Linked DNA regions of Sus scrofa. The protein of the gene in region 5 purifies or fractionates together with the protein of the main gene of each other region. This does not show direct contact. Links are inferred from orthologs where the notes say so. Each region holds a gene or a part of one and is shown on either strand. Other genes may lie near its edges.

Region 1 (4,129 bases), on a different chromosome or scaffold from region 5:
ATGTATAAATCAAGACTGGAAAAGAAATATCCTCCCAAATGGTTATCTTTAGATATCTACAAGCGATTTTCGTCTTTTCTTTAAAGACATTTTATGTAATGTCCTACTTTTTACAATATTCGCTTTATGTGTTTTAACTAATTTAATCCTCACAACAGTAGGTAACACTATAAACTATAGCTTCTACTTTACAGTTTTTTTACGAGCAAGACACTAGACATAGAAAGTTTCAGTAACTTTTTCAAGTTACTCACTGTAGAAGGCCTAAATTCAAAACCAAACCAATATATTAAGAAATAGTCATCTGAAAAAGAATGGGTGCATTTTTTTTCATGCATCACTGAATCATTCTGTCGTACAGCAGAAATTATCAAATTGTAAATCAACTATACTCCTTTAAAACTTAATTAAAAAAAAAAAAAAGTTCCTGCTGTGGTCACTGGGATCACAGGTTCAATCCCTGGCCCAGCACCGTGGGTGGATTAAGAATCCGGCACTGTAGGCACTGCCGCAGCTGTGCCCTAGGTCAAAACTAGGGCACGGATATGATCCCTGGCCTGGGAACTCCAGATACCTCATGGCAGCCTAAATAAATAAATAAATGGAGAAACAGCCTTCCATCATTTTGTATATAAATCCAAGAGTTTATCCTCATTTGGATTATGTCTCCTAGAAGACCATCTGCACAGCAATAGGCAATGTTATTAAGTCCAAATATATTCTGTGCTAAATCTTTCCTTTAGGCCTTGTTACTCATTAAATTTGAGGCTATTACATTTTCCTTAAGTGCAACCTATCATAGTGATTGGCATTCTCCCTCTACATCAGTTTATAGCAAAAGATACGGATCCTGAGTCTAAATTACACGCAGAGGGATCTGAGACCAAATTCAGAACTGGAGAAAATATGCTAAGAATTGTTTGCTGTGATGTGGGAAGAAACCCCATTAAGCCTCTGTCTTCCGTTAATGTTTAGTGCATTTTGTTAGCACCTACATCTAGTTTCATCAAACTGAACCCTAGTACAAAAAGGCTCTTCTGTAGTCACAGGTTAACCCTGGGGATAACCGATTCATGAAAAGTTGTGGAAAACTGAAGATGTCTACCTACAAATTCCAACCATGAATAATTAATTTTAAAAACAAGCCCTCAGGGTGAATGGAAAACATGAAATAAGGACTATACTATCAAATTCCTTCCTCCCTAGTCTTATCTAACGCCATCATATTAAATATTAACTATAGACTAATGCTATCCAAATATACATTGAAAGTTTAGTCTTTTCTCTTTAAAAGCTCCAAAATCAAGTTCATCCATCTGCAGCACTTATGTATCCACCTGAATGCTAACATGGCATCACAGTTAAAACACAATTTTAAATTTCCTCCCTAAACCTGTTCCTCTTCCCTCTAATCCCAGTGTTCCCACCTCCTTAGGCGGCACAACCATCCACCAAATTACTCCTATCACCCATTTGGGACTTATCCAGTCCCTCAACATCCTCCATAACCATCCGTTGCAGTCTTTATTATGTACCAATCAGTATCCGTTAAGGAGCATTGCAGCAACTACTTCACTTAACCCATACACGACACTGTATAGCTAAGCATTATTACAGGTAAGTAAACTGAGAGAAAGAATAATTTGCCTCAACAGACAGAGCTTCTAATTGGGGGACCCAAAATTCCAACCCAGGTAGTCCTGATCTACTCTTGACCTAAGGCTCACTTTCGCCTCCAAACATGATTCCAATCTGTTCGCTTCCCTCCCCTCTCCCACTACTGCAACAGCTGGAGTTCAGCAACAAGGTCCTAAATAATTCCCATTTCCTTTGTAACCACGCTAAAATCCAATCTTCTTTTAAATTCTTCTCACCACATTCCAGTCACGTGGCCTTCTTTCAGTTTCTTTCTAATCCCTGCCAGTAAACACTAACTAATCCCCCTCCGCCTGGGGAGTTCTGCTTTTCTTCCACATCTTAGTAGTCGATAATCTCCACCCTTTGGGCGAGACGTCGGCTCAAATGTCTGCCTCCTCCGAAAAGCCTTCCCTCGCGCCACCCTTCCGGAAATGGCGCCCTTCCTTTACACTAAATCCTCCAAGAGCTTTTTTACCGAAACCAGCACTTGTTTCCACACGGCTCCCCACCCCCACCACGACCCCAACCTCTGAGAGAAAAGAGCAAGGACTGTGCCTAGCCTGTTTTCTGCTCTATCCGCAGAGGCCGCAGGGTACCACCCGCTATTTTCGGCACGCAGGCCTGCGTGGACGAACGAAGGGCCCTAAGCGTGGGCGGCGGTTTGGCGGGCTTAGCTCCCCCCACCCCGGGCCGATTCAGTCCCTTTCACTCTACGGCGACAGCGCCACCGCCAAGCGCAGGCTGGAAGAGGAAGTGGGGTTTGGCCGCTCCGGAGACGAAACTAGGCCTGCCTCCGCGAATAACTGGGGGCCAAATGGCGGCCTCAGGCAGCGCAAGCGCGGAGCGGCGTCGCAAGCAGCACGCAACCCGCAATCCGGGAACCCAGCGAGGCGGCTCTCCCCTCCCCCACCCGCCACCGCCGCCAGCTCCAGGCAACAAAGACCCGCTGCAGAACCCCGGGGCCTACGCCGTCCCAACCGGTAACAAAGACGTCTTCCCCTTACCGGAGTCCGATTCTTTGTGCCCGAGAGCACAGCTCTCTCAGGAACGTCCCTGGCTCGGGCCTTAGCGACGGAGACCAGACGAGCGCACCACCACTCGCACCGAGGCGGCGGCGAAATGGCTCCGACCGCTACGCTGTGGAGGCGGAGTCAGTGTGCTACGCATGCGCAGAAGGGGAGCGTGGGGCCAAGGGCGCCCGGAAGAGGGGCGGAGCTGCCGCAACCACGCGACGGGCAGCGTCCAGTCGCCTGGGAGATCCGCCGCGCCCTAGAGCGGCGCCGGGGCGGAGCTTCCTCCTTTGGCGCGAGGCCTCCTCAGGAGGGGCCTGCCGCATGTTTTTGGAGAATGTTTTGCACCTTCTGTCATAGGGACCTGTGGTAGATGAGGTGCCCCACAAAGACACAACTGGAAATCCTAGGTGGTAGCTTTATAGGGTTGTTGGTGATTAAATGAGATGGCTTAAAAAATAGAATAAAATAAATGAGATGGCTTGCGAAGGCGGCTTAGGGCAGTACCCAGCACACAATAGTTGTTCAGTAGGTATTGTAGTGATTCGGCTCCTCGAAGGTTAACATCCCCTAAATAGAAGTAAGCTCGGTGAAGGCGGGAACCCTGCCTGGCCAGCTCAGGCCGCTAAATGAAGTACTTGGCACATCAAGTGCTCAGTAATAACTAGTTTAATAAATAGAAACTGTAAAGTTCTTTTTGCTCAAATTGGATAACCTTTTGTATTCATAGTCTTCGGAGTAATTTATATCCTTAACTATTATAGTAGTCACTGCTAAATTTTTGAACTCCAGTGCTTCTCACGGAGGCAACAATACAAAATATTTCAAGCTGGGGTTGTTCCAGAGAAGCCAGACCAGTAAAGTATCAGGCCCCATCGTACCTAACATCCTTATTTTTCACCTCTTCCCTTTTTTTCCCCTAACTCTTCTAGCTCACTGTGATTAATCCCTTTAAAACTCTGTTTCTTCTACAACCAGAGTAACACAGATTAAAACATTTAAGTTAAACAGAGGAACGTATTTACTCATTAACTTATTTTCTCCATGTTTGCTCTCTTCAACTAGGAATAAAATCATCAGGGAAATACCTTAATCCTTTGTTTCCTTATCTCTCTCAGGATGCTTAAATCAGGAAGTTTTCATGATAAGGGAAACCCAACTAACATAAATGGATTGCAAATGTTTTGTAGTAGATAATGTACACACCAAAAACATCAACAAATTAAGTATAAAGAATATTTTCTGAGGTCGATCTTTGGCTCCCAAAGATTACAGAGAATTTTATTACTGAGTTGTTTATTAATTTAGGCCTTGCATCTGGGACCTTGAGTTGCCAGGGGATTGGATGCCAGCAATGGCATTTACCTTTGTAGGTTGTCCTTGGCAACTAGTACCTTCTAAGATCTCCCTTAACATTTGCAGATGAAGCATCAAAACATTCTCCATGAGTTCCCTGGTGGTTCAGCAGGTTAAGGATCCAG
Region 2 (4,177 bases), on a different chromosome or scaffold from region 5:
CAAAAAATGAAATATCCTAGACAAGTTGATATTTAGCAATTGTCACAGTTTATCAAATTGCTAATAAGGGATCAGCAAGGTAATAAAGCTTATGCTTTGGGTATGGGAATGATATGGAAATTGATGGGTTATATAGTTGGGATACAGAAGATTTACATAAGCAACTAGTTTAGTGGGGGAAGAAACTTCCTAACTAGGTAAAGAGTGCAGTTTGATTATATAAAGTAACAAATGTCATAGTCAAATCTGCTGTTACAGAGGAAACATGGATGAGGATAGTTTGTGATGCTGAGCATTGGCTGTCAATCAGAGATTAAAAGTCAGGAGTTCCCTGGTGGCTCAGTGGGTTAAGGATCTGGTGTTGTCACTGCTGTTACAGATCCCCCTGGGGTTCAGTTCCTGGCCCTGAGAATTTCACATGCTGTGGGAATGGCTTAAAAATACAAATTTTACAACACAGATTTCTTACCATTGTGCTGCAAATATTTTTTTAAAAATTACAAAGGATGGCAAAAAAATATTTAAAAAAATAACCTACATGAAATTCATTAATATCTCTACTTTTCACTTGTCTCTGCTAATTTAATTACGTATGGCTTAAAGTCTATTAAAAGAAGTCGCAAATCTCCTTTTACATATTTGTATTTGCCTTCGTCGTTTTTCTTGTAATTGCATCACTGTTGTGAAACCATTTTCAAGTAAATACTTAGTTGGAAATGCTACAAGTAATCTAGCTCTTTCGAAGAAGTGAATATGCAAATCCCTAAGGCCCAAACTTAATCAGATTAATTTAAATGTGTTTTGGCTTTAAAATCTTTCATTTATTCACTTAAACTTAATGAACTCTTCTACAAATGTTGCTAACTGGGCCACTGGTTTCCAATGTCTTAATCTCCCAGAGATGTATTGTAAATCCAACTCTTTTTTTATTGGCTACATTCATGGCGTATGGAAGTTCCAGAACCAGGGACTGATTCCGAGCCGCAGCTGTAACCTATGCTCTGCGCTAGTTTTGAACCCATGCCTCCTCAGCAACCTGAACTGCAGCAGTCAGGTTCTCAACCCACTGCGCCACAGCGGGAACTCCCAATCCAACTATACCTTTAAATCTAGTCAACTAATTAAAAAGTAAACCAAAAAAGAAAAATTTTAAAACCAGTCCTTTAAGGATAACTTCCCCTCCAAGAAAAAGAAAGGATTCTATAGGAGCCGGTGCCTATGTTCCAACTCTCGACAGAAGAGTTGAAGCTCCGCCCCTCACGTACTCCACGCCCCTCTTCCGTACAGACCGCGCCCAGAGCCTGCGTCTGACGTCGAGCGGAAGTGACGTATAGGGGCCGCCGGAGGTGTCGTTGGTGCGTTGCGCGGCTGGGCCTTAGAGTGGAGTGAGGCCTGCGCTCAGGAAGCTAGAGCCATGTCGATCGAAATCGAGTCCTCGGAGTGAGTCCTGCAGTGGGAATGTTACCGAAGTGGCCGGGGCCGGGAGGCAGAGGGTTGCGGGGGTGGGAGTGGGAGGTGGTGGAAGCTGCTCGGGGGAGGCGTCCGAGAGGCTGGGGAGCGGAGGGGCATTTCCTTTCCTATAAAGAAGCTTTTGGGATCTGGCTACCTTGGAGGTGGACCTACAGAGAGGTAGCAGATGAGAAGCCCAAAGCCCTGTGGAAGGTGGCGCGGGGCTGGGGGAAGGAGACTCCTGGAAAACCTGAATTCTAGCCCTCGCCAACTTCTGCTGTACCTTGTAACTGAGCAAATTAGCCATCCTATTTGGATTCCGGTCTATCAGCACAAGGGGGCTGGGCTCGACGCCATCCATCTCTTCCCGTCCCCATCGAACACCGTGGTGGTTTCCTCCCTGTGCGTGCACCGTCCTTTGCTTTCTTCTGCACAGCTTTTGGTATCGTCACCGTTTTTCTGCCCATCCTACTAACCTGTATAGCTCCTAGGGACTCGTTTGCATTATAGTCCCAATTCCCAGCCCATCGTAAAGGCTCAATAATTGCTTTTAGAATGAATGAACGACTATTTTATCAGGTTCTGTCTGGCGCTGAATTTTATTTAGCGTGTGAGCTCTGTAGTCACAAAGGAGGGACAGAATTTGGAGATTGGGCAAGGAGAATGATAAATTTGGGAGAGAGGGGGACTAACGAATGATTGAAGAAAGTCTTCAGTAAACTTCTCCAGGACTCCATCCTCCACCTTGTTCTTGCCAACGCTTAGTAGTTAAGTCAGCAGACAACATTTGTGTCCTGAGTGTAAAGGAGAGGACTTGTCCTGAAGATCTGCCATAGGAGGAAGGGAGGTTTATTCATTTAGCAAATACTGAGATCTACTGTGTATATTTGTTCTAGCCCCTGGGACTGTAGTAGTGAACGAAACAGACAATAACCCTTGCTCTTAGGGAAAGTACATTGTGATGGGGAAGGCAGACAGCAGACAAAATCAGTAAGTAAGATAGCTTAGCAGATGGCTGTAAGTGTTGTGGAGAAAAATAAAGCAAAGATGGACAGTGAAGACAGTTATGGCAGGAGTTGGAAAGGAATCCACCCTTTGGGGCCTGAATAAAATCGGGCACTGACCATCCTCCCAGCCTTGGCTGCAGCATGTTTTTGTGATCAGTAATTGCTGCTATTTACTAAGTATTCTCTATGCTAGTTACACTATGTGTTGTAGTCAATCCCTTTGATCAATCCTACAGGGTAGGTATTTTTCTTAACAGATGAGGAAACAGGCAAAGAGATGTTAATTGACTTGTCTGCAAGTCACAGTTAGTGAAAGAACTCTGATTGAAATCCCAGCCTATCTCCAAAGCTTTTAGCTCTTTGTGTATTACATTGTGTTTGAAGGAAGTGAATTTGATTTTGGTTATATCAAATTTGAGTTCTTTGCAAGGATGGAGTCTCATATTAGGAGTGTAAGTGGAAGTGTCCTATGGAAGCCAGGGATTGAACCCGAGCCACAGCAGTGGCAACCCCAAATCCTTAGGCCATCAGGGAACTCCTGCAGGAACTGTTTTTAAGAGGGTATTTGGGGAGTTCCCGCTGTGGTACAACAGGATTGACATTGTCTCTGCAGCACCAGGACACAGGTTCAGTCTCCATCACAGTGGGTTAAAGGATCCCATTGCCATAGGTCACAGCTGCAGCTCCGATCTGATCCCTGATCTACAAACTCCATATGGCTCAGGGCCGCCAAAAATGATAAAAAAAAAAAAAAAAAAGGTGTTTGCTTTCCTGTCTGGGATGATGCTACCTGCCACACTGCCAGTTTGAATCTTTTTTTTTTTCCATTTACCTCTGTTACTTGGTCACATCCTCACGTAAAATGGACATAAGAGTAATGCCATCTTTATAGGTTTTTGTTTTGTTTTTTGCCTTTTGTGCTTTTAGGGCCCCAACAGCAGCAGCATTTGGAGGTTCCCAGGCTAGGGGTCTAATTGGAGCTACAGCTGCCAGCCTATACCACAGCCACAGCAACACCAGATCCGAGCTGCATCTGCGATCTACACCACAGCTCACGGCAACGCCGGATCATTAACCCACTGAGCAAGGCCAGGGATCGAACCTGCAACCTCCCGGATTCGTTTCCACTGTGCCATGACGGGAACTCTGGGTTTGTTTGTTTGTTTGTTTTTTTAAAGGCAGTACCTGTGACATATGGACATTCCTGGGCCGGGGATTGAATCCGAGCTGCAGCTGTGGCAACGCTGGATCCTTTAACCCACTGCACCAGGCCAGTGCTGCTGAAACAACCTGAGCTGCTGCAGTTGGATTCTTTTTTTTTTTTTTTTTCCTTTTTAGGGTGGAACCTGAGGCATATGGAAGTTCCCATGCTAGGGTCAAATTGGAGCTGTAGCCACCAGCCTACACCACAGCCACAGCCATGCCGGATCTGCGCCAAGTCTGTGACCTACACCATAGTCACAGCAACGCCAGATCTCCCACCCACTGATTGAGGCCAGAGATCTAACCTGCATCCTCATGAATACTAGTTGGGTTCGATTCCTCTGAGCCATGCTGGAACTCCTGCAGTTGTATTCTTAATCCACTGCACCACAGCAGGAACTCCCTCATAGGGTTGTTTTGAGGGTAAATGAATCCAAAATGCTTAGAATAGTCCCTGGTATATAGTAAACACATAATAAACATCAGTTGTTACTTTTTGATTATTGTTTCTCTCCTGG
Region 3 (4,020 bases), on a different chromosome or scaffold from region 5:
CAACAAAAACCAGTGGAACCTCAATGAAGGAGAATAATATTCTTCAAGATCATGGGAGATGTTACTGCACCATGAAACCTGAATAGCATGCCAAGAGTGAGTTTGGTGAATCAAAACCACGCAGACCCTTTAAAAGAAAAGACATGATAATCCAAACAAAAAATTGAACACAAGTGCTCTAAGGTCAGCCAAATAAAGCTTTCACACAAAACAGAAAAATGAAAAACAACCAACAACAAAACAAAAGGAGGCAAAGCAAGAAACCCTGGACCAAAAACAGAACCAAATGTGGAGAATATTATCAAAGGAATGACATAAGAACTCCAAAGTTAAAAAAGGTCCTAACACAGACACAAACAAAAAGACTCTCAAGATCACGAAATTTTACAACACTAAAAAAAACTTTAAATTTCTACTAGACAGGAAAAAAATGAGAACTGAAATGAGAAATCAGGACAGGATCAGATCCCTCAGAACAGCACTTAATGTAGAAAACATGCTATAATTCCACAGTTCCCACTGAGGGTTTCTTTTTTTGGGGGGGGTGGGGCTGCACCTGCATATGGAAGTTCAGAGGCCAAGGAGTCGAGGTGGAACTGCAGCTGCCAGCCTACATCACAGCAAAGGGGGATCTGAGCTGCATCTCTGACCTACGCAGTAGCTAGCGGCATTGCTAGATCATTAACCCACTTCATAGATATTAGGCGGGTTAACCCTCTGTGCCACAATGGGGACTTCCCTACTGTGGATTTTTAATCCAGAATTTTACTCCCAACTTTTTTATTTTTGTTTTTTAAGGGTCGAACCTACAGCATATGGAGGGTCCCAGGCTAGGGGTTGAATTGGAGCTGAGGCCGCTGGCCTACACCACAGCCAGGGCACCACCAGATCTGAGCTACATCTGCTACCTATGCCACAGCTCACAACAGCACCAGACACTTAACCCACTGAGCGAGGCCAGGGATCGAACCTGCATCCTCATGGATGCTAGTCAGGTTTGTTTCAGCTGAGACATGATGGGAACTCCTACTTCCAAACTTCTGACTGTGGGGGTAAATTAAAGCCATTTTCAGTTAACTGAGAACTCACAATAAATAAATGAGCTGACCTCTTCAAAAACTACTCCTTATGCTCTGATAAAAGGAACGAAAAAGATGGTCAGACTGAAAACTAAAGCCAGACCAGGGTAACCTGGACAGAAGGTTCTAGGACAACCACTCAGAAGCAAAGTGGGGGCTCCAGTCCCAAAAGCAGGATTAGGCCAGCTTTAAGAGGGAAATTTCCATGGGAGAAAGGAAAAAAGAAATCCATCTGTGGGAGTTCCCATTGTGTTAAGGACCAACATTGTCTCTGTGAAGATGGTTGTGTTCACTCCCTGGCCTCAATCAATGGGTTAAGGATCCGGCATTGCATCAAGCTGCCATACAGGCTGCAGCTGCAGCTGCCACTCGACCCCGGCCCAGGAATTTCCACGTGCTGCAGGTGCGGCCATAAAAAAAAAGAAAAAAAGAAAGAAAAAGCCATCCATTTGTTTAAATCTGTGGGAAAACACAACTAATCAGTGTGTGAAGTAATGACACGTTGAGAAAGAAACAAGCAAAACAAAACAAACAAACAAAAAAAACAGGCAAAGAAAATCAGGCTAACAGGAAAAGAAGAAATTAATTAGCTTTGGAGGACGATAGGAAAAACAGCGTAAGAAAAACAATACAGCTGAATACATTGCTTGCCTGAACAGCGAATACTATTTTCAGCCCTAAAAAATAAAACACGATCTGACAAAACTCACGATATCCACATTCAGAATATGGAGGGCGAGGTTGGAGAGGGTGGGTGGCAGATAGAAATGAAACCTCAAACCCGGCGCAGCCAAAAAGAATAACGTTATTTACAAAGCTGCTCTTGGTAGTTCTGAGCTGACAAAAGAACAGAAAAAAGAAGCGATCGGGCACCTAGTGTGACAGGTGGGGAAATCATTTAACTTTGTGGCACCGCTTGCCAAACGGGCCTGGCTAACGGGCCCTGGTGGCCTCGGGTGCGGTGCCAGGAGTTTCGCCGTCACCCCCACCCGTTACAGAAACCAGGTGACTCCCAGACCACATGGCCAGCATACCAACGGGCGACTGCCGGGGCACACGGAAAGCGCCTCGGGAGCTGCCGCCCTACCGGACCGGCATTTATGGCCCGAGCTCCGAGAGGGCGGGGAGCGGGCACCCACTCTCAGCCTGCGCCCCCGCCGACCGCCCCTCGCCCTCTCCCCTCCAGGGAACTCCCGGGGGTCTCCGCCCTAGCCCCTCGCCGCTCCTGACTCGCCTGCGCGGCCTCACTGCCGTAGTCTATTCAGACTCCACCGTAACCGCCTATTCTGCCGCCACAGCCGCCGCGACAATTTCGACAGGCGCACGCGCGCCAAGGGCTAAGGAAGCACTTCCGAGGGCAGGCGAGGCGGGGCCTTCCGTGTGCGCATGCCCAGCCCGCCTAGCGGCGCGGGGCAGACGTTCCGGATGCTGGAGGTGAGTGGCGAGCCGGGAGTGTGGGCCGGAAGCCGAAGTGCGCGTGCGCGTCGGCCCCCACCCTCTCTCGGTGGGCCTAATTCGCGGGGCCACCTCTCGCGGGATAGCGAGTTGCGTCTCGCCCCACCTCCACTTCGCATGCTCCAGGTCGCTTCAGTTAAGGGCGCCATGGGTCGTGGCGGGCCACCTTATTGCATGGTTGTATATGGCAACCGTCCACCTTGCTCACTATCCCGTGCGCCCCGTGAGGGTTCACGTTCTATCCAGGCGGCTCCCAGCACTGTACTGACACGCACCAGTGATTGACAGGCTGAGCGGCCGCAGAACGCGCAGGCGTAGTTGCCCGGGCTGCGCTTCCGGAACGGTGCGGTGGGACTCTTTTGGCGCCGGCAACGGCGCGAGTGGGGACGGCGGCCGGTAAGGCGCGGTTTTCGTTCCGCGTTCCGGGTCCCGGCGGCGCCATGCGCTTTAACGAGAAGGAGCTGCAGGCGCTCTCCCGGCAGCCGGCCGAGATGGCGGCTGAGCTGGGCATGAGGGGCCCGAAAAAAGGAAGCGGTGAGCGGCCCGGGGCGCCCAAGCGGGCGGCAGGCGGGGCTGGGCAGCCACCGAACTCGCGCGAGCCTTCCTTGTTCCCGTAGTGGTGAAGCGGAGACTGGTGAAGCTGGTGGTCAACTTCCTCTTCTACTTCCGGACGGACGAGGCAGAGGTTAGGCGCTGGGGAGGGCGGGGTTGGGGGTAGGGGGTCGGGGCGAGGGCGTGGGGGGGGACCGGAGCCAGGGGGCGGGGCCGGGGTCTGAGGCGTGGGACGGGCTTGGGTGGCTGGAGGGTTCCCCGCACCGCCCCTTACGCGTCCATCTGCCCTCAGCCCGTCGGAGCCCTGCTGCTGGAACACTGCAGAGTCACCCAGGAAGAGCCCAGCGGCTTCTCCATCAGTGAGTGCGAACTGCGGCCAAGCTGCCCGGCCCCGCCCCGGCCCCTCTTGCATCTCTACCGACAAAGTCCATTGTCCCGAGCAGCCCCACTCGCCCTGGCTCCTCCCCGTGGGGCCCAGGCAGAGCTTGCAGCGAGGAGGGCGGGAGGCAAGAAGTCTGACATCAGAGTGGGCGCAGAGTTGTGTATTTCTGAAGAATCATCTCTGTCTCACGCCTCTTCTCTCAGCTTCTGGGGCGTCTTTGGCTTTGGTTTTTTTTTTTTTTTTTTTTTTTTTGTCTTTTTAGGGCCGCACCTCAGGTATGTGGAGGTTCCCAGGCTAGGGATCGAATGGGAGCTACAGCTGCTGGGTTACGCCACAGATCTGAGAAGCCTCTGTGACCTACACCACAATTCACCGCAATGCCGGGTCCTTAACCTGCTGAGCGAGGCCAGGAATTGAACCCACAACCTCATGGTTCCTAGTCGGATTCCTTTCCACTGGGTCGTGACAGAAACTCCAACCCTTGGCATTTCTTATCTTGTAGAAGCGTCACCCCATCTTCGTCTCCGTTTTCACAGGATACTGTTCTCAGGG
Region 4 (3,500 bases), on a different chromosome or scaffold from region 5:
CATGCTTCATTACAGTCATGATGTTTATACTGAACAAAACAAAAACCTTCATTTCACCCATATGCTCTTAAGGTATTGAAATGTTCTTAAAAGGCTACTGTAGTCATTATTTCATGAATTTTTCCCCAAAAGAATAACACTCCATAAAATATGTTTCTGGTAAACACAAACCCACGAGGGAGAACTGGAATTTTGAAAGAGCCCCAGGGAGTCTCACATTCAGCCAGGCTGGACGTCGGTTCTCACCACACTAGGTGCGACAGGTCCTGGTCTTGGACGGGGGACAGAGAAGGCAGGTCAGAGGAGAGCTGACAGGGCTTACTCACCTCCGTCCATGTGCTTCAGTGCCTTCTCGGCTTCATCTGGATTCTCGAACTCCACGTAGGCGTAGCCCTTCGAGAGATGAGGGTGCATCCTTTCCACAGGCATGTCGATCATCTTAATCTTGCCGTAGGTGGAGAATATCTCCATGATGTGATCCTGGGAGAAAGAAGGTCACTCGAGGGCCCACCCGCCAGGCACTGTGAGTCAGAGAAGGCGCCACAGTGACCACAGCCTCGCACCCGGGGGTAAACCTCCCAGAGGCACGTCACGTCTGTATCCCATCCAAGGGAATCAACCAGCGCTGCCTGAGTCACGCGCCATGCAGCCAGCCCCTCGAAACGCGACAGGTCAAGTTCCCCTTCTGGCAGAGGCCCCCTTCTCCAGTTTCCCACTTAAAAACTTTGCAAGTAACACAGCCCACTGTCCACTGGACAGAAGCAGGATTCCTCACCTTGGTCACGTTCCTGGTGAGCCTCCCGATGTGCACTTTGGTGGGTTTAGGGGAAGGGCTCCGCCGCTTCCTCTCCTTTTCATCTCTTTTGGGCGGTTTGGACCTGATGGAAAAAATAAAACATCAGCAACAATCTGTGACATCAAGCTTTTAGTGGGGATGTTAACGGCTCGTGTGACAGCGTTCTACCGGTTCATGCACATTGTCCCTGGCCCAGACTTCTGATTACTAAGGCAAGAAGATTCCTTTTTTGCTCTACTTTAATCATTCACAAGCTCCAGGCTGGAAGGGAGCTAGCTCACTTGGAACGGGAACGCCGCCTGTTGTCGTGTCTGCGCCGAGAAGGACTCGGAGAGCCAGAGGAACTGCTGGAGCTGGAGCTGCGGGATGTGCTGGAACTTCCTGAGCGGCTCGATGCCGAAGACGAGCTGGAGCCACTGCTGGAGCCCGTGCTGGTGCTGGAGCCTGAGCTGGAGGTAGAGCTGGACCGAGACCTGAGGGCGAGAGGGAGGGGCCCCGACAACGGTGGTGGAAGAGCAAGAGCAACTCCCCACAGCACCGTCAAGCAGGTCTGGCTCTGGAGAGGAGACCTCTGCCCATGTATTTTCAAGCGTCCCCGGAGGGGAAACATTGACACTCCCCTTCCCCGCCCTCAGCAGGGACAGAAAACAGCATGCGGATTGTGCAGTGACAGGAAAGGAAGAGCGAGCCCCTCTCTACCCACACAGAAGCCACGCCTGTAAAGGAGGCCGGCAAGTCAGAAGCACCAATTCAGCCTGGAAACCAGCTACTGACTCTGGCTGGGTTTCAATGGATGGAAAAGACTCCCTAGGCTGGGGAATCTGATCACAACCCCAAATCAAAAGCACTTGAGGGAGTTCCCGTCATGGCGCGGTGGTTAACGAATCTGACTAGGAACCATGAGGTTGCAGGTTCAGTCCCTGCCCTTGCTCAGTGGGTTAGCGATCCGGCGTTGCCTTGAGCTGTGGTGTAGGTTGCAGACGCGGCTCGGATCCCGCGTTGCTGTGGCTCTGGCGTAGGCCAGCGGCTGCAGCTCCAACTGGACGCCTAGCCTGGGAACCTCCACATGCCGCGGGAGCGGCCCAAGAAATAGCAACAACAACAACAACAAAAGACAAAAAGACAAAAAAAAAAAAGCACTTGAGAGATGAACCATGCCCCTAGTCACCCCATTCCCTAACATCGCCAAGAAAGGAAAAAAAAAAAAAAAAAAAATCCCAACACCATTTTCTATATATAATCAGGTTTGCCACAAATCAGGGTCTCCATTAATAACCCGAGTGTCCTCTCTAACATAATTAACGCACTCTAAGTGCGGCGGAGGGAGAAGGATGGACTGGGAGCTTGGGGTCAGTAGATGCAAACTATGACATTTACAATGGACAGACAATAAGGTCTTACTGGACAGCACAGGGAACCATATCCAGCCTCTTGGGAGAGACCAGGATGGAAAATGATACCAGAAAGGCAATACATATATACATATATGGGACTGGGTCGCTTTGCTGTACAGCAAAAATTGGCACACCACTGTAAATCAACTAGACTTTAAGGAAAAAAAAAAAAAAGAGAGAAAGAGACAAGAGTGCCCTCTGGGCTCTTTGGGCAGGAAGAGAGACACGGCTGCGGAAGCGAGGCCCTGGCAGTGCTCTAACCCACCAGCCCCACCTGGTGCTGCTGCTACCACTGGAAGCGCTGCGCCTCTTCCGAGTTTTATCCCTGCCACGGTCCTTCTCGCTCGACTCCTTGGTGGCCCCTTTATCTTTAGAGCGGTCCTTGGACTTTTCCTCAGAGCGGTCTTTGCGTTTGGTAGGAGAAGGAGCCCTGGACGGTGAGGAAGAGCGTGAGACTGCAGGCCCTGGTGACTGGACCCTGAAGCAACAGCACCACCCGAAAGGGGATCCAAAGGGCTACAGAAATCCCAGGCAATCACAGAGCACAATGATCTGTGGCTTAGGACACTTGCATGTAAAATGCAAGACATTTCCAAGTTCCCCCTTTCTCACGGTCCCTAGCAACGAGTACCCCCAAAGTAGCACTAGAAAAATCTGACAGAAGGAAGGATTACCTAGTGCTGGACTTTTTATTATTTTCTTTGACTCCTAGCAAGCTCTTCTTTTTCACTCCTGATAAATCCATTCTCCCCTTCTGAGGTGTTCAAAGCAGCAATGGCGGCCTCACTTATCTGAACTCTCACTTCTAACTTGAGTCTGAGAAACGATCCCTAATCGATTGCAATTTACGCCAAAGTGCAGCCTAATAACAAGACAAAAGGATTTACAGGGTTAATTGGCAACAAATCGACTTGGCGGTCAAAAGCCAGGCACAGCAGAAGGCAGCAAGGAACACAGTAAGCAGCAAGCATCTACAGAGCCAGGAACAACACCTCTGGGATGGCCGGGCACCATTTCCTTGGGGAGGGTCCCACTCCCGCAGGAGGCACTGGTGGAACCTCAGCTTGTGGTTTCTCAAGGACACGGTGGTGGTGTCCTGTTATTTCACAGGTGGTACAATACCCGTTTTTCTTTCACAAGTTTGCTGTCGAGCCCTACAGTCCTTTAAAATACCACAGCATCACATTTGCATGCAGAACAGAGAAAATCCACTGACAGGAGTAGATCTCGTCTCATTGCTATGACCTTTGTAAAATACAGTGTGTATGATATGACTGGAAACAAAAGCCCTTTCAAAAGTACCAACATCA
Region 5 (3,500 bases):
AAAACCTAGCATTTCCCTCTCTTTTTGGCGTGACTGATGTTCCTGAGAGCATCAGTCCAGACACTCATGTGTACCATTGGTGGAACGTGAAGACAGCATTAAAAGCAAGGCTATTTTTAAAACTTTGCAAAAACTTAAAGCACACACAGTTAACAAATTGCTGCTGTACATAAAGCACGGAGACTACACTGAGCACAGCTGGCAAGAAAGGAGAGCAAAGCACAAGGATCTAAACGGGATGTGAGACGGACAGAGAACATGACTGCACTACGTACCTTGGTGAAGGTGGTGGACCCAGAGGCCATCAGAATTTGACGCACACGGTTGTGGAAGCGCTGCATTGACTCATCATCCACACGCAGGAAACACTGAGCTGTCCGCTCCTTAGTAACCTAAACCACAAGGTCAAGGTTAACTATCTCTGGAACTGCCACAGGAAGAAGAAATTTTTTGTTTTGTCTTTTTGGGGTACACCCATGGCATATGGAAGTTCCTAGGCTAGGGGTCGAAACAGAGCTGCAGCTTCTGGCCTACACCACAGCCACAGCAACGCCAGACTGAAGCCTCATCTGCAACCTACACCACAGCTCAACACTGGATCCTTAAGTCACTGATCAAGGCCAGGAATCAAATCCGCATCCTCAGAGAGACCACGTCAGGTCTCTAACCGGCAGAGTCACAGTGGGAACGCCAAGAACCAATGCTGACCATCACTAAGCCCTTACTCCCCCAACCAGGCTCATCCGACTGACACTGGAAAGGTATTTGGGAGTTCCCACTGTGGTGCAACAGGACCAGCGGCATCTCTGCAGTGCCAGGACACAGATTCAATCTCCAGCCCAGTACGGTAGGTTAAAGGATCCAGTGTTGCCACAGCAGCGCTACAGATCACAACTATGGATAAGAGCTGATCCCTGGCCTGGGAACTCCATGTGTGATGGGGCAGCCAAAAATGAAAAAAAAAAAAGGAAAAAGTGTGTGCAGTTCCTCACTCCCACCTACCGGGAGGTGGTAATGCTCCTCCCGGCTCCCCCGCCCCCTGGCCCAGGCCCTACCTCATTCTGTAGGTTCCAGACCCCGTCCTTGTGGGTGAACTCCTCATAGCTGGTGCGGCATTTTGGCAGGATGCGGCACTCAAAACCGCACATGTTGAACAGCAGGTTGGGGTTGTCCTTACTGTACACCGACACGAAGCTGTTCTCCCACTGAACTGTAGTCACTGAGCGTGGCAGACGGTTCTTGATGTCCCAGAACACTGCCCGACCCCTGCCCACAGAGAACATGGGTCACACCAGTCCCCTGGAAGGCACTTCCCTGCAAAGGCCAGACTGACGACAGCCCAACAGAGTACATCCTCCTACCCAGAAGACCACCTCCTAAAGTCCCTCTAATTGTCCTCCGGGTCCCTCAGGCTGACATCCTTCTCGCTCCCAGAGCCCCAACTTAGACTCACAAGTTAACATCATGCTTCATGAGGCGCATGCGGGCATCTCGGGGCCAGCACTTCTTGTTATTGTAGCCGACGATGTTCTCATTGTTGGGGTCAGGATGCTCCGTCAGGTAACGCTGGATTAGGTCCCGAGCCTCATCTGCCGTGAACCTGCACCAGACAATGCGCCCTGCTGAGGCCCAAGCACACTGGGATCTCATGCGACCTACAGTTCCCTAGAGGGAGGCCACCCCGCCCCTTCCCACTCAGAAGACTTCCTTCCATTTTAGAGCCCCAACCCAGCAGCAAGCCAACTAAGGCAGGACAGCCACTTCCAGAGGCTGGGCACATGCCTCAGTGCCCTGCAAGGATAAGAAACCAGGCAAGCCCTCACCTGAAAAAAATATGGATACGATCGATGTATCTGCAGAAGAGACGGATGGGGTGGGCAGCCTCAGTAGCTATGTCTTGGAAACTGAGAAAGTCGTTTGGCATCTGAGGGGGCCCAGCCATCTCACTGGCCCGGTGCAAGCCCAACACAAGCAAATCCATCACCAGGCCATAGTACTGCACGATGAACGAGGCAAACTGCAGGCCTCTGATGATCCCATACGAATTTGTATGGTTCATGTCCTAGAAAGAAAGAGGACACTCAACCACGGCAGCGTGCCAGGCTTCTCCGGGGCCCAGCCTCTTCCTTTCCCACCTCAGCAAATCCCAGCTCGGCAGGCTGGACACCCCCACCCCGACCCCGGAACACACCTTGTAGTTGATGACGACGTTGTTCTTGGCAGTCATGTAGTCAGCGATGTTGTGGTCTACGATGAGGCGCAGCAGCCTGTTCAGCAGGGTCAGGTCGATCTTCTCATACATCTTCTCAAATCGTGACTCCAGCATGACGTTGCACTCGCCCTCGCTTGTCTCCCACACGTCCTGCAGGTTATTGATGCCTGAGGAGGGGGCAAGACAGGGCTCCAGCAGGTTAGAAATTCCCTTTCAGGGAGTTCCCGTTGTGGCAAAACAGAAACAAATCCAACTAGTAACCGTGAGGCTGTGGATTCGATCCCTGGCCCTGTTCAGTGGGTTAAGGAACTGGCGTTGCTGTTAGCTGTGGTGTACATCACAGACGTGGTTCTGATCCTGCGTTGCTGTGGTGTAGGCTGGCAGCTGTAGCTCCGATTCGACCCCTAGCCTGGGAACTTCCATATGCCGCAAGTGCAGCCCTTTAAAAAAAAAAAAAGAAAGAAAGAAATTCCCTTTCAGGACCAGTGCCTACGGTAATCCGATCGCATGCCACTCCATTCATTCGCTGGCTTGCCAGGAGAGTCAGCTTTGCTCAGTTTAGCATCAATACCATTTCCTTGCTACTATGCAGCAAGAAAGTAAGCTAATTCTGCTGCCTGGATAGCAGAACTCAATGCGCCTCCCGTTCTCAGGTGCGATCCCAGAAAAGTTTTACCTTGGCACCACTTGTAAACAAGCAGAGGCGGCGGTTCTGTGTCAGCAGGCTTGATCCAGGGCGGGAAAAGGCGGCGCTTGTCAGCTTCGTACCAGAGGTACTGGTCCAGGTAGGCATCAGTGATTTTCTCCAGGGGCTCCACATCATACACTGGCACCAGGTGGCTATAGAGATCCATGAACTCAATGCCTACCTGCGAGACACAGAAGCTGGCTCACACCAACCCACCAACCACCTGAGACAACCTGCCACACTGGGTGCCAGGGATGAATCACGCAGCCAGAACAAAATGTCGAGGGCATCTCACTCACTTCTTTGAAGGCTCTCTGTGTGAGAAGGTGACGCTTGATGCGGGACAACGCCTCATGGGGGTTGTCATAAGCTTGCTCGATCAGACCCAGCTCTTCCCTCTGAGACTGGTTTAACCGGGACTTCACACTGACAAGGCAAAAGAAAAGGTGAATGGGAAAATCAAGAGGAAGCCAACCCCAGAAAGGACTGATGCTAAGCCTTCTTTCTTTGGACTCTTGATGATGCTGTCATTCTTCCCTGTCACCTCCCCATAGGAACCTGTCTACCCCTCACCTGTAAGCTTCCTTGAGCCGCTCCAAG
Region 6 (3,500 bases), on a different chromosome or scaffold from region 5:
ATCCAGAGACCCTAAACTAGCCAAGCAGGGGCTGAGGTCAGGGAGCACCTCCCTTAATGAGTGATGCTTGATCCGATTCAGTCAGGGTAGAGGAGAGAGCAGGCTGGACCCAGGGACCTGCAAAGGTCTAGTGACAGAGCTGGGACAGTGAGGTACAAGCAGTGGGGAGGTGGCACTGGAAGATCAACAGGGGCCAGAACATGTCCAGGTTGATGCCTGCCCTGTGCTCTGTGTATGTTCTTGCAGCTCTGGGGGACAAGGCGGACTTCTTCCTTCAGCAAATAATTTCCATGCACCAAGTGTGTGCCCGGCCCTGGGAGCAGGGCTATGAACAAGACAGACGCAGTCTCTGGCCGCTTGAGCTTGACTGTGTAATGGGATCAACCCACCAGCCTTCATGGGCGACAACTCCTGCCTTCAGGGAGGAGAGGAAAGAACTGTTGCGTGTGGGGTGGGCAGGGGGACAGAGGAGGGGTTGCTGAAAGCTGGGACCGCAAAAGCTCGACTGACGCCTCTTCCTCTGACACCAGACAGCCACAACCAAGGTCCCGGAAATCCGCGATGTGACGAGGATCGAGCGTATCGGTGAGTAAGCGTGGGTCAGGGACAGGATCTAGCCCCTGCCTGCCCCCTGCCCCCTGCCAGAGCCAGTCTACCTGGGACCCTTGGAGGGGGGCAGCCTGCACACTCCCCCACCCCACCGTAAGGAGGGAGGCCTTAGTCCCAGATGACTCAGAGGTGGGGGGGAACCATGTCAGGCCCCAACCCCAAGCTACCACTGCTGGCTGGGCTGCCCTGATGGGCCTCCCGGGTGCCCCAGCATCCTGCTTGGAAATCGTGAAAGGGGGTTTTTGCTGAGATCTTCCAGGGGTTGGCCCCGCAGCGAATGTCCCATCCAGCCAGCATACGCTGGGGCTTCAGCTCTGAGAGGGCAGGGACCTGGCTCCTTCCTAGCAGTGTCCCCGGCACAGGTCCTGGCAGGCCAGAGGCTCCACAGGTCACCACTGAACACGGGAGTTTGCATCCTTTGAATCCTTGGCGTAGCCCTGCAGTGTTCCTCCTGCCACCGTCATCCCATTTTTAGCTGAAGGGACCAGGACTCAGTGACGCAATCAAGCCCCTGGTCCCAGCTCCCCGGGAGCAGGAAGTGGGGGTGTAGAGGGTTCAGCAGGGTGTAGCCTTTGCAGAGAGCCTGCCCTGCAGGGAGGAGACCACTCATTCATTCGTTCATTCATTCCTTCATTCCTGTTCGTTCACTCATTCATCCACAGCTTCCAGGAGAGGTAGTAATAAGGGCCTGGGGTGATTACTGAGCCCCAGCAGGGCTCCAGGCTGATAATAATAGCTGCGATTTGTGTTTCTCCAAGTCCCAGGTCCCGTGAAGTATGATTAGAACTTGGGAGGTCCCTCAGGCCACCATGTAGCCTAGGAGCCACTCTGTTTACTGAGCATTGACCGTGTCTGGCCATCATCCCAGTGAGGTGGGGACGTGTGTGTTGGGGGGTGAGAGGGGACCGTGGCCAAGGCGGACACCAGCACTGGGTAGGGGCGCCCCTCCCCTCAGGCCACACATGGCCACCAGCGAGCTGGCCTGTAACCAGTTGAGCTGGCCGGTAACCGCCTCTGCTTCCTTCCCCGCACACAGGCGCTCACTCCCACATCCGGGGGCTGGGGCTCGACGATGCCTTGGAGCCACGGCAGGTAGAGCCCAGGGGGCCGTGGTGGGAAGGCTGCTCCCTGGGGGCCTGGGGTGGAGGGGACCCCAGGGGTTGTGGGGACTGTGTTCTGACCTTCTAGACCTTTGGCTGCATGTCTGTAAAATTTCCCCACGCGTGGAGTTTTATTTTGGTCTTTCAAAAAAAAAAACAATGGGGGTGGAAAAGGCTGTTTTGGCTTTTTTCTGAAGTCTCAGCCACCAGCGTCTTCTTTGAGCTCACTAGCCTGGAGGCTGTAGAAATGCAGGGGTAGACCTGTAGCAAGAAAGTCCCCTGATGTGCTCTGTCACCTCCCCGCCAGGCTTCCCAGGGCATGGTGGGCCAGCTGGCGGCCCGGCGAGCAGCCGGCGTGGTGCTGGAGATGATCCGCGAAGGGAAGATCGCCGGCCGGGCGGTCCTCATTGCTGGCCAGCCAGGCACCGGGAAGACGGCCATCGCCATGGGTAAGGGACCTCTCGGGGGGAGAGCGCGCCTGGTCTCGCCAGGTGGTCCCTCCCGTGAAGGTCAAGGTCCGGTTCAGCCACATTCAACAAGACGGCAGCAGCTTCACCCCTAAGGGTTCCTTCTCTTACTGGAAGATTCGGAACATAGGCCAGCTCGGGCTTGTCGAGCAGTCCCATGGAAGCTCCTGCCTTCCTGCCTCAACATGCGTTGCATGTCGGGGTCACCTCATGTTGCAAGAAGGTGGCCTACACGCCAGCCTTCGCACCCATACTCCAAATAGAAGGAGAAGGAGGAATTGCAATGAGGGTGTGCCTCCTGGAGGTGGCTCCCTTTGAGCTGCTGTCTTAGGCCTCCCACACACGGCTGCTCATACTTTATTGACTAGAACTTAATAGCCACACTCTGCTGCCCAGGTGAGTGAAACATTAAAATGTCTTTGAGGAGTTCCCCTTGTGGCTCAACAGGTTAAGAACCTGACATAGCGTCTGTGAGGATGCAGGTTTCATCCCTAGCCTCACTCAGTGGGTTAAGGATCCGGCGTTGCCGTGAGCTGTGGTGTAGGTTGCAGACACGGCTCAGATACCGTGTGGCTGTGGCTGTGGTTTAGGCCGGCAGCTACAGCTCCGATTCCACCCTGAGCCTGGAAACCTCCATATGCCGTGGGTGCAGCCCTAAAAAAAAAGAAAAGAAAAGAAAGAAAATGGAAAAAAAATACTGCTGTTGGTCAGTCAGTGTTTTAATATTTCCACAGTTTCACTGTTGCACAATTTCGTAACGGCACCCATTCTTTGTAACTGTTAGTGCTTTAAAGAAATATTTCAGGTGTCATTAGGATTGTTGCTGCCAGTGATATGCGTAAATGGCACTTGAAATAAATATATTGTGTTAACTCTAAAAACAAAAAAAAAAAAAAGAAGGAAAATGGAAAAAATAAAAAGATCACTTGGTGCTAAGTCGTGACGCTGGGATTCGAACCTAGGCCGTTTGACTCGATTACCTTCTCTTCTAGCCCCTTGGCCTCTAGGCCCTGATCATTAACCCTAAGCCCTGAGAGGCTGGGAGGCAGGACTGGCCAGATGCCAGAGTCGTGGTGCTTGCGCTCTGGGCAGCTCGGGGCTCGAGCCCTCCCGCCCCTGCCCGCTGGCCTCGCTTTCTTTCCATCTCCCTGTCTGCACGCAGCACCCAGCCCCTCTCCTTTCTTCCTGCCTGAGGAAGGAGGAGCTGGCTCGCCCCGGAGTGGCTGTTTGGTTCCTGGGGCCTGGGCGGCCCCACTGACCCAGGCTGCCCCACCCCCCGCAGGCATGGCACAGGCCCTGGGCCCTGACACCCCGTTCACGGCCA
Region 7 (3,500 bases), on a different chromosome or scaffold from region 5:
AAGCAATGTTCTCTTCAATGTAATATTCCAGGCCCACCCTGAAATCTATGCCCTCCTCCATTCCTGGGATGTGCTCACTCTTTTCTGGAACGCTTGTGCACTGTTGGTGGGAATGTAAATTGGTCCAGCTACTTTGGAAAACAGTATGGAGGTTCCTTAAAAAACTAAAAAAAGTGTGATACAGCAATTCCATTGCTGTGCAATTATCTGGAAAAAATGAAAACTCTAAATTCAAAAAGATGCATGCACCCCAATGTTCATAGCAGCACTATTTACAACAGGCAAGATATAGAAGCAACCCAAATGCCTTTCAGGTGACAGGATTAAGATGTGCTATGCATATACACATACAGTGGAGTATTAGCCAGGAAAAAGAATGAAATACTGCCATAGGCAGTGATGTGGATGGCTCTACAGAATATGAAGGTTAGTGAAATAAGTCAGACAAATACTGCATGAAATCACTTTTATGTGGGATCTAAATGTCCCTTCTTTGGATCTCAGTACTTTATGGACCACAACATGCAATGCAGCAGTTGCCCCCGTATCACCAAAATGAACTAGTGGTTATCTGCCACAGAATATATTGTCTCCTCAACTAGATAAAGCTTCTTGAGGATAAAGAGGACATTTTTCCACTTAGTAAAATACAAGCATTTTTAGGAATGATCTGCTCTTTTATATTTCTTAATCCTTCCAGCCCCATTTCCCCTTTATTCTGCTTGTAATATATTCACAGTAGAAAGTGAATTGTTCTGTAGCTTCTTAAATGCTGGATTTTGCCCACAAATCTCTATATGGCCACAGAAATTTAAACACAATTCTGAAAATTTGGGAAAAGGTTTTTATCATTTTGCAATTTTGCTTTACAGTTTCAGGAATCATACTCTTTAACAGTTTTATGCACACTCATGAGGTTCAACGGCCTTTTCTCCTTAAACTGTTAATAGAGACTTGGGATTTTAGGGCCCAAAGGGGCCATGGAGATCATCTAAGCACTGACTTACAAATAGGAACTGAACCCTAAATAAATAACAAAACCTAAAGCTAATTATATGGAACAGAAATAGGAACTCAGTGGCTTGTTTTGGGATTTTTTTGCTGGTGTTAATTCTCTACTTACAGTCAGGTCTCATTATTTGCAGATTCTGTATCTGTGAATTTTTGCCTATTTATTCAAATTTTTCTGTAACCTAAAATCAACACTTGCAGTGTTTTGTGATCATTCATGCTCAGAGCAGCAAAAAAACTGAGTTGCTGGACATGAACATTTCTAGCTAGAGTGGAACAAGGTGATACTCTGCCTTCTTGTTTCAGGTCCCATACAGACATGACCAAAGGAAAGAGTTTAATTTCCAACTCTGGTAAATTACTTAACACTTCTCAACTTTGTCCTCTCTTTTATAAAGAAAATATAGAACCTGCCATGATAAGTTGCTTTAAAGTATTTAAGATTATAATCTATGTGAGAGATATGTATATCTACATATGTATGTATTTCTCCCAGGAGAACTGGCTCATTGTTTGCTAATTCAGTATTCAAGGCCACTTTATAAAGCAGAACATGCAACTAATGAGAGCTGACTGTATAAGCAATCCCCTACGTTCTACCATGCTGTGATTTGTAAATCTAGACCTCAGAACTCACTATTGCAATATTATACAATAAATGCATTAGTTTTAGGTCCCTTTAGTATTCTCAAATGTTGAGATGGGTCTCAAAGCAGTAGCCTTTTATATGAATTCTAGTTCTAGGACATAATCCAAGTGAAAGTCCAGTTATACTATTTTTAATCCTACTTCCCCTAGCAAGACTATGGGTGGGATGGGTTTAAAAAAAAAAAAAAAAAAAAGCTTCTTACTCATTATATACTTTCCAGGCATTGCATCCATGCTGTGACATTAGTTCCAGATTCTCAATTCGAACTGCCTGATGCTCCAACTGAGCCATAGAATTGTTTACACATTCTTGCCATGCAGTAATGTCATTTTTTTGACCTGAGGAAGGGGCCGGAAGTTCATATCTGAAATTAAACAACAATGAAATAAAATCACATTATTCTTCCAAACCTTTTGTCTCCTCCCAACAGGATCATGGACCTATACACATTGAAAACTACAGAAGACTTAGGTTGCAGACCTTGCAATAATAAGAAACCTATTTATCCTAAGAAACAAGCAATTGACAAACTTCAATGTGAACTGATTAAACAAGCTGCAGTGCATTCATATAAATGATTATTATAATAGCTATTAAACATTACTAAAGAATACCTAAAACATTAAAATGTTTGTGATATCTTAAGGGGAAAAAAAGCAGGATATGAAGTTATTTTGTAAAACATACCTATATCCACCCACTCTCACTGCCACTTACCCACCTCCTTCTAGAGAAAAAAAATGGTAAAGGGATACAGTAATTTTTTACATTTGGAACTCAGTCTTTATCTTCATACTACTTCAATACTGCCAATATAGCCGGCAACATAACCTCTTCATAAATCTCTGTTCAGTACTGAATTACTACAAACTAACTTTTAATTTCTGAGTTTTTTGGGGGATGAGGGGGCCAGAGGGCGCCACAGCTTGCAGCAGCTTGATGTGGGATCTCAGTTCTCAGACCAGGGATTGAACCTTGGCCTCAGCAGTGAAAGCGCCAAGTCCTAACCACTAGACCACCAGGGAAATCCCCCCTTAGGAACTCTTAAACGTGAACTGTGTTTTAATTTACTCTTTCCCTGTTAGGTATTTTAAAATATTTTTTGTATTAAAATAACGGTGCAAAGAATATTTCTGAATATTAACACGTGATTACACGAACCACTATTATAACTTTTATACAGAAAAATATAAATATATAAAAAACAGACAAGAATTGTTTTTCCATATTTAACAGTTTACAGTAGTTTGACTAATAATTTAAAATTAAACTATGATTTGAGGGCATCTGAATGCAGAAATAGAACTTACCGTTTCATACTGAGCAATTCAATTGGTTGTCGAGCAGCCAGTCTTTCAAATTCATTTCTCATTATGTCAGTCTGATATATAAATTAGAGAAAGAATTATTTCCAAAATCATATCAATAAACTTATATTAACAACCATCAAATAACGGATCTAAGCTACTTAGGTATTTACTTTATGACTGTCCACTATAGCGGAGCACTTCCCTTCTCCCAAGTCTTCTCTGGGTTCAATGCACAGGCACACACATACTTCATATGTAAAGGAGCCTATAGAGAAAAGGATTAATCCTAGATCAGTGGTTCTCAGTGCCAGCAGCACATGTAGAATCATACAGGAGCAAACAATTTTAATACCAGCCACATGTAGCTCCTCTTCCCTACTCCGAGTAATTGTTCTGAGGCAGAGACTGGACACTATAATAACTTTTTTTAAAAACTCACCAGTTGTCTGTAAAGTGAAGGCTGTGCTGAGAACCACGGCTCTAAGGATTCACTGGGGGCAGGGGAGAAAGAAGATGGCCTGGACATACAT

What was found.
Region 1: the proteins of PRPF8 (region 5) and DHX9 fractionate together in Homo sapiens (co-fractionation; 3 studies listed by BioGRID, with this or other methods). This does not show direct contact. The link is inferred for Sus scrofa from reciprocal best matches to the Homo sapiens genes PRPF8 and DHX9.
Region 2: the proteins of PRPF8 (region 5) and SMU1 purify together in Homo sapiens (affinity purification with mass spectrometry; 3 studies listed by BioGRID, with this or other methods). This does not show direct contact. The link is inferred for Sus scrofa from reciprocal best matches to the Homo sapiens genes PRPF8 and SMU1.
Region 3: the proteins of PRPF8 (region 5) and SF3A2 purify together in Homo sapiens (affinity purification with mass spectrometry; 3 studies listed by BioGRID and IntAct, with this or other methods). This does not show direct contact. The link is inferred for Sus scrofa from reciprocal best matches to the Homo sapiens genes PRPF8 and SF3A2.
Region 4: the proteins of PRPF8 (region 5) and RNPS1 purify together in Homo sapiens (affinity purification with mass spectrometry; 3 studies listed by BioGRID and IntAct, with this or other methods). This does not show direct contact. The link is inferred for Sus scrofa from reciprocal best matches to the Homo sapiens genes PRPF8 and RNPS1.
Region 6: the proteins of PRPF8 (region 5) and RUVBL2 purify together in Homo sapiens (affinity purification with mass spectrometry; 3 studies listed by BioGRID and IntAct, with this or other methods). This does not show direct contact. The link is inferred for Sus scrofa from reciprocal best matches to the Homo sapiens genes PRPF8 and RUVBL2.
Region 7: the proteins of PRPF8 (region 5) and BCAS2 purify together in Homo sapiens (affinity purification with mass spectrometry; 3 studies listed by BioGRID and IntAct, with this or other methods). This does not show direct contact. The link is inferred for Sus scrofa from reciprocal best matches to the Homo sapiens genes PRPF8 and BCAS2.

The regions. Positions count from the first base shown.
Region 1 is NC_010451.4:124,140,600-124,144,728, reverse strand, and holds the start of DHX9 (ATP-dependent RNA helicase A), read right to left. Parts: upstream 2,801-4,129; 5' UTR 2,643-2,800; intron 1-2,642. UniProt on the Homo sapiens protein: Multifunctional ATP-dependent nucleic acid helicase that unwinds DNA and RNA in a 3' to 5' direction and that plays important roles in many processes, such as DNA replication, transcriptional activation, post-transcriptional RNA regulation, mRNA translation and RNA-mediated gene silencing.
Region 2 is NC_010452.4:33,398,006-33,402,182, forward strand, and holds the start of SMU1 (WD40 repeat-containing protein SMU1), read left to right. Parts: upstream 1-1,377; 5' UTR 1,378-1,414; coding exon 1,415-1,440; intron 1,441-4,177. UniProt on the Homo sapiens protein: Involved in pre-mRNA splicing as a component of the spliceosome. Regulates alternative splicing of the HSPG2 pre-mRNA. Required for normal accumulation of IK.
Region 3 is NC_010444.4:76,403,662-76,407,681, reverse strand, and holds the start of SF3A2 (splicing factor 3A subunit 2), read right to left. Parts: upstream 2,801-4,020; 5' UTR 2,314-2,800; intron 1-2,313. Other genes in the region: PLEKHJ1 (pleckstrin homology domain-containing family J member 1), read left to right, coding at 2,975-3,068, 3,152-3,219, 3,379-3,445. UniProt on the Homo sapiens protein: Component of the 17S U2 SnRNP complex of the spliceosome, a large ribonucleoprotein complex that removes introns from transcribed pre-mRNAs.
Region 4 is NC_010445.4:39,742,058-39,745,557, reverse strand, and holds part of RNPS1 (RNA-binding protein with serine-rich domain 1), read right to left. Parts: intron 3,053-3,500; 5' UTR 2,936-3,052; coding exon 2,865-2,935; intron 2,621-2,864; coding exon 2,465-2,620; intron 1,270-2,464; coding exon 1,078-1,269; intron 879-1,077; coding exon 776-878; intron 481-775; coding exon 327-480; intron 1-326. UniProt on the Homo sapiens protein: Part of pre- and post-splicing multiprotein mRNP complexes. Auxiliary component of the splicing-dependent multiprotein exon junction complex (EJC) deposited at splice junction on mRNAs.
Region 5 is NC_010454.4:47,881,787-47,885,286, forward strand, and holds part of PRPF8 (pre-mRNA-processing-splicing factor 8), read right to left. Parts: coding exon 3,474-3,500; intron 3,327-3,473; coding exon 3,200-3,326; intron 3,082-3,199; coding exon 2,889-3,081; intron 2,380-2,888; coding exon 2,192-2,379; intron 2,063-2,191; coding exon 1,824-2,062; intron 1,601-1,823; coding exon 1,454-1,600; intron 1,267-1,453; coding exon 1,056-1,266; intron 393-1,055; coding exon 276-392; intron 270-275; exon of another isoform or gene 1-269. UniProt on the Homo sapiens protein: Plays a role in pre-mRNA splicing as core component of precatalytic, catalytic and postcatalytic spliceosomal complexes, both of the predominant U2-type spliceosome and the minor U12-type spliceosome.
Region 6 is NC_010448.4:54,253,504-54,257,003, forward strand, and holds part of RUVBL2 (ruvB-like 2), read left to right. Parts: intron 1-246; exon of another isoform or gene 247-530; coding exon 531-585; intron 586-1,645; coding exon 1,646-1,701; intron 1,702-2,016; coding exon 2,017-2,158; intron 2,159-3,458; coding exon 3,459-3,500. UniProt on the Homo sapiens protein: Possesses single-stranded DNA-stimulated ATPase and ATP-dependent DNA helicase (5' to 3') activity; hexamerization is thought to be critical for ATP hydrolysis and adjacent subunits in the ring-like structure contribute to the ATPase activity.
Region 7 is NC_010446.5:105,995,558-105,999,057, reverse strand, and holds part of BCAS2 (pre-mRNA-splicing factor SPF27), read right to left. Parts: intron 3,042-3,500; coding exon 2,971-3,041; intron 2,025-2,970; coding exon 1,863-2,024; intron 1-1,862. UniProt on the Homo sapiens protein: Required for pre-mRNA splicing as component of the activated spliceosome. Component of the PRP19-CDC5L complex that forms an integral part of the spliceosome and is required for activating pre-mRNA splicing.